Ovis aries: one gene and its partner. The protein of the gene in region 1 purifies or fractionates together with the protein of each later gene. This does not show direct contact. Links are inferred from orthologs where the notes say so. Each region holds a gene or a part of one and is shown in the gene's direction. Other genes may lie near its edges.

The links. The genes of interacting proteins can lie anywhere in the genome.
Region 2: the proteins of PNKP (region 1) and XRCC4 purify together in Homo sapiens (co-immunoprecipitation; 5 studies listed by BioGRID and IntAct, counting the BioPlex papers as one, with this or other methods). This does not show direct contact. The link is inferred for Ovis aries from reciprocal best matches to the Homo sapiens genes PNKP and XRCC4.

What each region holds. Positions count from the first base shown.
Region 1 is NC_056067.1:55,943,674-55,946,950, reverse strand, and holds the end of PNKP (bifunctional polynucleotide phosphatase/kinase), read left to right. Parts: coding exon 1-72; intron 73-790; coding exon 791-839; intron 840-936; coding exon 937-1,007; intron 1,008-1,084; coding exon 1,085-1,177; intron 1,178-1,313; coding exon 1,314-1,410; intron 1,411-1,486; coding exon 1,487-1,548; intron 1,549-1,701; coding exon 1,702-1,811; intron 1,812-1,888; coding exon 1,889-1,976; intron 1,977-2,057; coding exon 2,058-2,119; intron 2,120-2,183; coding exon of another isoform or gene 2,184-2,203; coding exon 2,204-2,321; 3' UTR 2,322-2,377; downstream 2,378-3,277. Other genes in the region: PTOV1 (prostate tumor-overexpressed gene 1 protein), read right to left, coding at 3,156-3,167, 3,250-3,277. UniProt on the Homo sapiens protein: Plays a key role in the repair of DNA damage, functioning as part of both the non-homologous end-joining (NHEJ) and base excision repair (BER) pathways.
Region 2 is NC_056058.1:80,502,731-80,507,389, forward strand, and holds the start of XRCC4 (DNA repair protein XRCC4), read left to right. Parts: upstream 1-1,745; 5' UTR 1,746-1,814; intron 1,815-4,659. Other genes in the region: TMEM167A (protein kish-A), read right to left, coding at 1,518-1,520.

The sequences.
Region 1 (3,277 bases):
GTGCTGGTGGCCACGCACGCAGGCTTGTACCGGAAGCCGGTGAGCGGCATGTGGGACCACCTGCAAGAGCAGGTGAGCCTCCGACTCCCAGGGCTCCCTGCCCGCCTGCCCACTCCAGGTCTCTGCTCCATGACCTTCCCTGTCACCCCCTCCCCAGGCCTGGCCGCCTCAGTTTCTTTGCTATCATGTCCTGGTGCTGGTGGCTGAGGCCAATGCTTTTAAACTCGGGAAACCAGAGTGGTCCGGAGAGAAATCACCTGTGGATTCATTCATGGGTTTGTTCTTCAGAACAAACAAAGCTTCTTGAGCTGAACGTATTAGTGGACAAGACAGACCTGCCTGCGCCCGGGCCCTCGTTTAAGTGTGTTGACCGATGTGTAAACAGTGAGGGAACGGCCGGGTGTTGATTAAAGGCTTAAAGGTGGTGAGTGAGGGAGCCGTGTGTCATCTAAGGAAAGAGCAGAGTAACGGCAAATGCAAGGATCTTGAGATGGATGGAGTCCGGTATTTTCGCGGGCAGGGAGGAGGCCTGTGTGGCTACCGCTGAGCTGGCGAGGGGGCAATGCGAGGTCAGACTCTGTGGGGTCCGGAGCCGCGTCAGGTGGGAGCGGGCGCCCTCTGGCGGCCGCTTGTGGAACAGGCGGTGAAGCGGCTGAGAAGTGGCTGAGGTCTGAGAGGCTAGAGGTCAGGCCTAGGGCGGGGCACCGACAGAGCGACCTCCTGGCGGAACCTGTTAGTGCGACAGATGTGGGCTTGGGTTCCTTACTGCCTGTCATGTGTCCCTGCCCAGGCCAACGAGGGCGTGCCCATTTCCATCAGGGACAGCATCTTTGTGGGAGGTAAGGGCCTGGGGCTGGGGGGGGGGGGGGGTGCTGGGCGCTGATGCGGATGGGCCGCTCCTAAGGATGCTGGTGGAGACGGGGCTCCGTGTTCCAGACGCAGCGGGACGCCCAGCCAACTGGGCCCCTGGGCGCAAGAAGAAAGACTTCTCCTGTGCAGACCGCCTGGTGAGTGCCCCACCCGGTCCAGACACCGGAGCCCGCCCCCACCCCACCCCACCTGACTTGCTCCCTCGCCCCCCCAGTTCGCCCTGAACCTGGGCCTGCCCTTCACCACACCAGAGGAGTTCTTTCTCAAGTGGCCTGCGGCCCGCTTCGAGCTCCCAGCCTTTGACCCGGTGAGGCCTGCAGGGCTGGGTGGGGGGCACACATGGATGGGGCCCTTTGAGCTCGCAGCCTTTGACCCGATGAGGCCTGCGGCGGGGACGCACAGGGATGGGGCCGGGTTTCTCTCATCTTGTCTGTCCCTCCCAGAGAAGCATCGCCCGCTCTGGGCCTCTCTGCCTCCCCGAGTCCAGCTCCCTCTTAAGCTCAGACCCAGAGGTGGTCGTCGCCGTGGGATTTCCTGGGGGTGAGACTCCCTGACCCCCAGAAGCCCCAGCCCCTCTCTGACTCCTCAGGCCCCACTCACCCTGCGCCCTTCACAGCCGGGAAGTCCACCTTCCTCCGGGAGCATCTCGTGTCAGCCGGATACGTCCACGTGAACAGGGTAGGACGTGGTCTTCAGTGCCCCCCCAACCCCTAGACGGCTGTGCTTTCTGACTCTCCATCACTCTGCCTCGGTGTCCCCCCGCCGGCTCTGGGTCCCTGTGCCCCTGGGTGTCCCAAGCCCCATCCTTGATCTCTCTCTCTGGGTCTCCAGGACACTCTGGGCTCATGGCAGCGTTGTGTGACTGCATGTGAGGCGGCCCTGAAGCAGAGGAAACCGGTCGTGATTGACAACACAAACCCCGACGTCCAGAGCCGGGCCAGGTACTGGGGTCCCAGGGAAGGCCCCTAGAGGGCGGCTCCAGGCCTTTTACCAAGCTCCCCATCCTCCCCTCCCCAAGGTACATCAAGTGTGCCCGGGATGCGGGTGTGCCCTGCCGCTGCTTCCTCTTCAGTGCCACCTTGGAGCAGGCGCGCCACAACAACCGGGTGAGTGAACCCCCCGAGCCCCTCCAGCCCCCAACACCCCACCAAGCCCTGGCCTCACCGGCCCCACCTCTGCCCCCGCAGTTCCGGGAGATGACAGACTCCTCCCACATGCCCGTGTCCGACGTCGTCATTTACAGCTACAGGTGGGGGCCGCAGGGTGAGGTGGGGGGACATAGGTTGAGCCCAATGGTTGGGTCTCGCCTCTAGCCTGCATCCTCTGCCGCCAGGAAGCAGTTCGAGGCCCCCACGCTGGCCGAAGGCTTTGCAGCCGTCCTGGAGATCCCATTTCAGCTGCACGTGGTGCCGCAGCTCGAGCGGCTGTACCGCCAGTTCTCAGAGGGCTGAGCCACCCTGCCCTACTGGCCCTCGCCCCTTCCCACAATAAATGCTATTTCTCCTAACTCTTGGCCACCATTTTGCTGGAGAGAAGGGTGGTTCACCCAGCCAGGCCAGCAGCACAGACCCGTTGGGCCCAAGGTACCAGGAAGGTGCTACTGGGGACTCTGCCCCCCTGGGGGGCCTCTGCCTCTCCTGGGTTGGAGAGGTTTATGGTGGTGGCAGCTGGAACTTGCCTGGCCCTGCCTCGTGTCTGCTTCTAGCTGAATGAGGCCCGTGGAAGCCACAGGGCAGGGAGGGCAGCCTGGGAGCAGCTGCAGGAAAAACCCTGGAACACTTGGAGCAGCAGGTACTGCCCAGGCTGGGCAGCTCCGTGCACGGTGGCACCCTCTCCCAGCTCAGGTGAGAGTGGCCTGGCCTCTCCAGAGCCGGGAGTCTGAACAGAGCCAAGTGGCCGGAGGGCTTTTAAAAGACTTTATTGGGGAAACGTACAGGGTGGGGGCTGTCCTCAGAGACATCTCAGGACGTGGTCCTCCATCTCGCTGGGCAGGCGCAGTCCCCAGAGGCCCCTGCTCAGAAGCATCTGACCTGCGGGGAGGGGGCAGAGGGACTGGGTGGGCGGCCCCCGCACTCCGCCCCAGGCCGGAAGCCTCCCGGGGGCTCAGCGGGGGCAGGCGGGCCTCTCCCTCTCTGGTCTCCTGGAGGCCAGGGTCACACCACCTCCCAACCGCAGGCGTGTCCACGGGGCCCTCCTGCCCTAGGCCGGCTGCCACTCACCAGTCTTCGCAGGGGCCTCATCTGTGACTCCTGGAGAGGCCCGGCCCCGGGGGGGGGGGGGGCCCACTACCCCCCCATCTGTGGGGAAGGACAGCACGGAGGAGTGAGCCTTGGGCGGAGGCGGGGAGGGGAGAAGGGGCGTGGCGAGGGGGGCCCTTACCCCTCGCTGCTGCTGCTCCTGCTCCAGG
Region 2 (4,659 bases), on another chromosome or scaffold:
GCTAATAAATGAGAGTTATTATTGTTTCTCTGAATAAACCAGTATGGCCAGATGGCTCAAATACTGTTAATCTTAAGTGGTATATGTCTTGCTTCTAAATAGAACATAAGACAAAAAGAAGAATCTATCTCTGCCTGTACTATGAGTAAAATAATCCATTTCAGCCTCAAGGAGGATATATGCAAGAATTAAGAGTAACAGTCTCGTTACTCTTTTTGGATTGCAAAATGAACCACATTTTCTAAGTTAAATAATGGCTCATTCAGGACACAAGTCTATCCACTTGTGTCCTTTCATGTGATAGTTCGATTTTGGAACTGGAGAGTATCTTCGGCCAAGGAAGGAATAATTTGCCAATAAAATGTCATCCCCTCTATACATTGTAAACTTCTCCAGGGAAAAGACTGTGACTTATGCTCCAGCTATAACAGTAGCTGGCACAAAGTAAACAACAATTAATGAGTTTTCGATTCAAAGTCTAAGGGTTTTATGCTGTATGGGATTCTGCAGGAACTTCTGGGAACGTAAGCTCAACAACTTTTCACTGCAGAAAAGCTTTTGTCATGGCTGCTTTTGATACTATAATAAAAGGCACGAATCTTTTCCTCATAAACACATCTGGCATATAGACCTCCTAAATTCATGGGGAGGGCCCAGTGTAGAGGTTGTTAGCATTTACCGTGACAAAGGTGAAATGCCTGCAGACATAGCTTGGGAGATCTTTGCTATTACTACTGATTATTTCATCTGTCCTTCGTCCACGTTGGTTTTATGTATTTTTCGTAGCTTGGAGAAGTAAACATTTCTCTTGTGAACTTATTCAAGCTAATTTCAAGCTTCTCCAAGAGGCCCAAACTATTAAAGGAATCTGCAATAAGACAAAATAACACAGGAAACCTTAATAATGTATGGAAGGGAAGACCCGAGGCCAGAAACCACTCCAAGCACAGTAAGCTTCTAGAAAAGCCACCTCTACAGACAACTCCAGTGATTATATCACAGCTTATAAAGTAGCATCTTTAGAGTTGAGAGAATGGAGCTGGAGAGACCTAAAAGGCCAATTAATTCAACAAGTCAAAATTAAGGTGGCATGTCTCGAGTTTGTTTGAAAACAATGAAACACCTGGCTTAGGTCGGCAATGAGATAACAAACCGCAAAACAACAAGCGCGCAAATCCGGCAGCTCTAAAGCCTGAAAATAACCACAAAGAATAAGTAACGACGGGTTAAGCCAAACCAGCGCATTTCTTTGAAACAAGTCATTAAAGTAGCCTCTGCGTGTGAGGAGGGGCTCTGCGGCCCTGAGGCTCTTTCTTGGGCTGTCGGCTCCGGTTGTCCCAGTTTGGACGTGCAGTGGCCACATGGCTCCCGGGCCCATCTCTCCCTCTGAGCCCCAGGAGAGTCAAGTTAGCGACAGGGCTCCCCGGCCGGGGACTGCCACTCAACCCTCCACCCCTTGTACTGGTTCGCAGCCCCTGCACAAAGCTCAGTTGCGACCCCAAAGCCCCGGTTCTTACCATAGTGAGGCCGGCGGAGCCCCAGCCACATCACCCTTCCGGGCCCAGGGCGGAAGAGGCGTGCACGGCCGGCTTGCCTTTCTCTTCCCTTTCCGCGGTTTGGTTGGGCCTGTCAGGGTACCTCCTCCTGAGGCGCGGGTCTCGGGCTCTACGATAGGCTCCTCTCTTCCGGAAAGGACGGGACTTAAATGACGTCATTCAGCCCCCGCGGAAGTAGGTAACACTCTCATTGGGTGCTGGATGTCCGCCTGTGGGAGCGGGCCTTTCGGAGGAGGCCGGAAGTGGAATTACTAACAGGTAGGGTCCGGAAGTGGCGACTGACTTTTAATAGTAGTCGGCGATCCAGTTATTATTATTTTTATTTTTCTTTACTTCTCTAGAACTCCTCCGCGCTCAATTTTTTTCCGGCTTAGACTCCCCTCGATGTGTAAGCTTCTGGCCCTTCTGTTTGTAAACACTGGGGAGCACCTGAGTTCTCTGGCGTTACCCTCATGTCGTGCATCGCCTGGGCTCCCTTTTCAGTTTCTCCCTTTGCACCTGCGGGATTCTTTGTGTAAAGCGCCTTTGAAATGCCCTGTAAAGCTGTGGGATTAGGACACTTGAATTCAGGGGGTTGTGTTGAGAAGGTGTTTGATCAGTTTTCTAACATTGGCATTCTCGCTTTTAATTCTCAGCGTTTTGTAGATTGTCAGTGGGTTCGATCTGAGGCTGAAAGGTGCCCGTTGCAGTCAGGAAAGAACTTTCTGTGGGAACAAATGGAAAGGAGCTGCCTTTCCTGAGTTCAGTAATTGATTAGGTGCTTTAGAGAAATGGTCCACCTGCAAGACATATACCAACTTTTTCTTTTAATCAGTATTATTATTTAACTTTCTCTAATTTTAACAATCCCATTAGATAGGTTCTATTCCTTCTCCCCAGATTCTTTTTAGAATATTATCAGTTTTTTAATACTTTGACTCAAAGTGGATTGAGAGAAACAGGAAAGGAAGTTCATATAATGCATTGATTTATGTGCTGTTCTTGGCCAAACTATGAGACCTTTCTATATTTAGGGCAACACAGTGATTACAATATTTGGGTTTCTACTATCTGTGATTGTATTGTTGGCTACTGCCCACCAAGTTTTTTTCTTTTCTTTTTTCTTTTTTTTTAAACCATTACTAACTTTTTGTTTGAATCTACTGAATTGTCAAGAATTGGTTAAGTACACAAATTTAGCAAGTACTTAACTGAGCTTTTATTCATACCATCATGAGATTGCTGCAGAGGGATAAAGATGGCCTGTTCCTTCCAGAAATTTTATGGGCATGGGGAAGAGGGGAATAAGAAATGTATAAAAATATACTGTAACCTTGTCCTATCAAAAAAACAAGCTGTAATGCTTTGTCTTGTGATTGCTTTACAATATATTTTTAAAGTCTTAACCATTCAAATTAAATAATCTTGGCTTGGTTATGGAAATTATGTTGTGCAACTCATCAAGCTTGGTTTCCAAAGTAGTAAATGTGTCTGCAAACATCTTGCTGTCATGTAGATTGTCTTCATTTACATGGACACTTGAGGGTTATATGTGATAGCTGAAGTGCACCAGGAAATTGAAGTTGTTAAAAATCACAGTTGATTTACTGTATTTATGAATTTTAATTAATTTTAGACCATGGGCTCTTATGTACTTCAGCTTCAAAATAGGGAAGAACAATGCCAGTTATTTTAAAGTTACCCATAGAGGAAGCCAAATAGCAATAGATAAGACTGAACATACATTTATATATAAAGTTTTTCATGTAACACAACAAAGTTAATCTGACACGATCTCTTGGCAAGATCTCTAAGAAGGTGGTAATTGAGATATATGGTCATTAAGCACATGAACTCCCTACTCTTGGCTTCACTGCCAGTGAACTAATTTAAGCACTGTCTTACATTGCTATATCAAAAATCTCTTTTCTAGCAGCTCTGGTATGGAATCTTATTTCAGACTATCTTGGATCATTTTCATACACACTAAAAGTGAAATCTGGTTCTTGTAATTTCCTTCTTCAAAAATTATTGCCTCTCCTGCATCTAGAAGAGTATTTTCAACTTTGATTTCTTAGGTTCAGTAAGAAATACTATTATACTTTATATACTTTACATACTGTTATATGTAAAAATAGTACATATTTATGTTTTTCTGTGCAAAGAAGGCATGGACCTCCCTAGTATTGTCAGGTATTTGACCTGCACAAAGCGCTCAATGGGGCTTCCCTGGTGGCTCAGAGGTTAAAGCGTCTGCCTCCAATGCGGGAGACCTGGGTTCGATCCCTGGGTTGGGAAGATCCCCTGGAGAAGGAAATGGTAACCCACTCCAGTATTTTTGCCTGGAGAAGCCTGGTAGGCTACAGTCCATGGGGTCGCAGAGTCGGACACAACTGAGCAACTTCACTTCACTTCTTCACTTCATTTCAAGCACTCAATGGAGAAGGCAATGGCACCCCACTCCAGTACTCTTGCCTGGAAAATCCCATGGACAGAGGAGCCTGGTAGGCTGCAATCCATGGGGTCCCAAAGAGTTGGACAGGACTGAGCGACTTCACTTTCACTTTTCACTTTCATGCGTTGGAGAGAAAATGGCAACCCACTCCAGTATTCTTGCCTGGAGAACCCCAGGGACAGAGGAGCCTGGTAGGCTGCAGTCCATGGGGTCCCAAAGAGTTGGACAGGACTGAGCGACTTCACTTTCACTTTTCACTTTCATGCGTTGGAGAGAAAATGACAACCCACTCCAGTGTTCTTGCCTGGAGAACCCCAGGGACAGAGGAGCCTGGTGGGCTCCCATCTATGGGATCGCACAGAGTCAGACACGACTGAAGCGACTTAGCAGCAGCAGCAGCAGCAGCAGCAGCAAGCACTCAATGGGCTTCCCTGGTAGCTCATCTGGTAAAGAATCTGCCTGCAGCGTAGGAGACCCTGGTTTGATTCCTGGGTCAGGAAGATCCCCTGAAGAAGGGATATTCTCCAATATTCTTAGGCTTCCTTGGTGGCCGAGCTGGTAAAGAATCTGCCTGCAATGTGGGAGACCTGGGTTTGATCCCTGGGTTGGTAAGATCCCATGGAGAGGGGGACAGCTCCCACTACTCCAGTATTCTGGCCTGGAGAATTC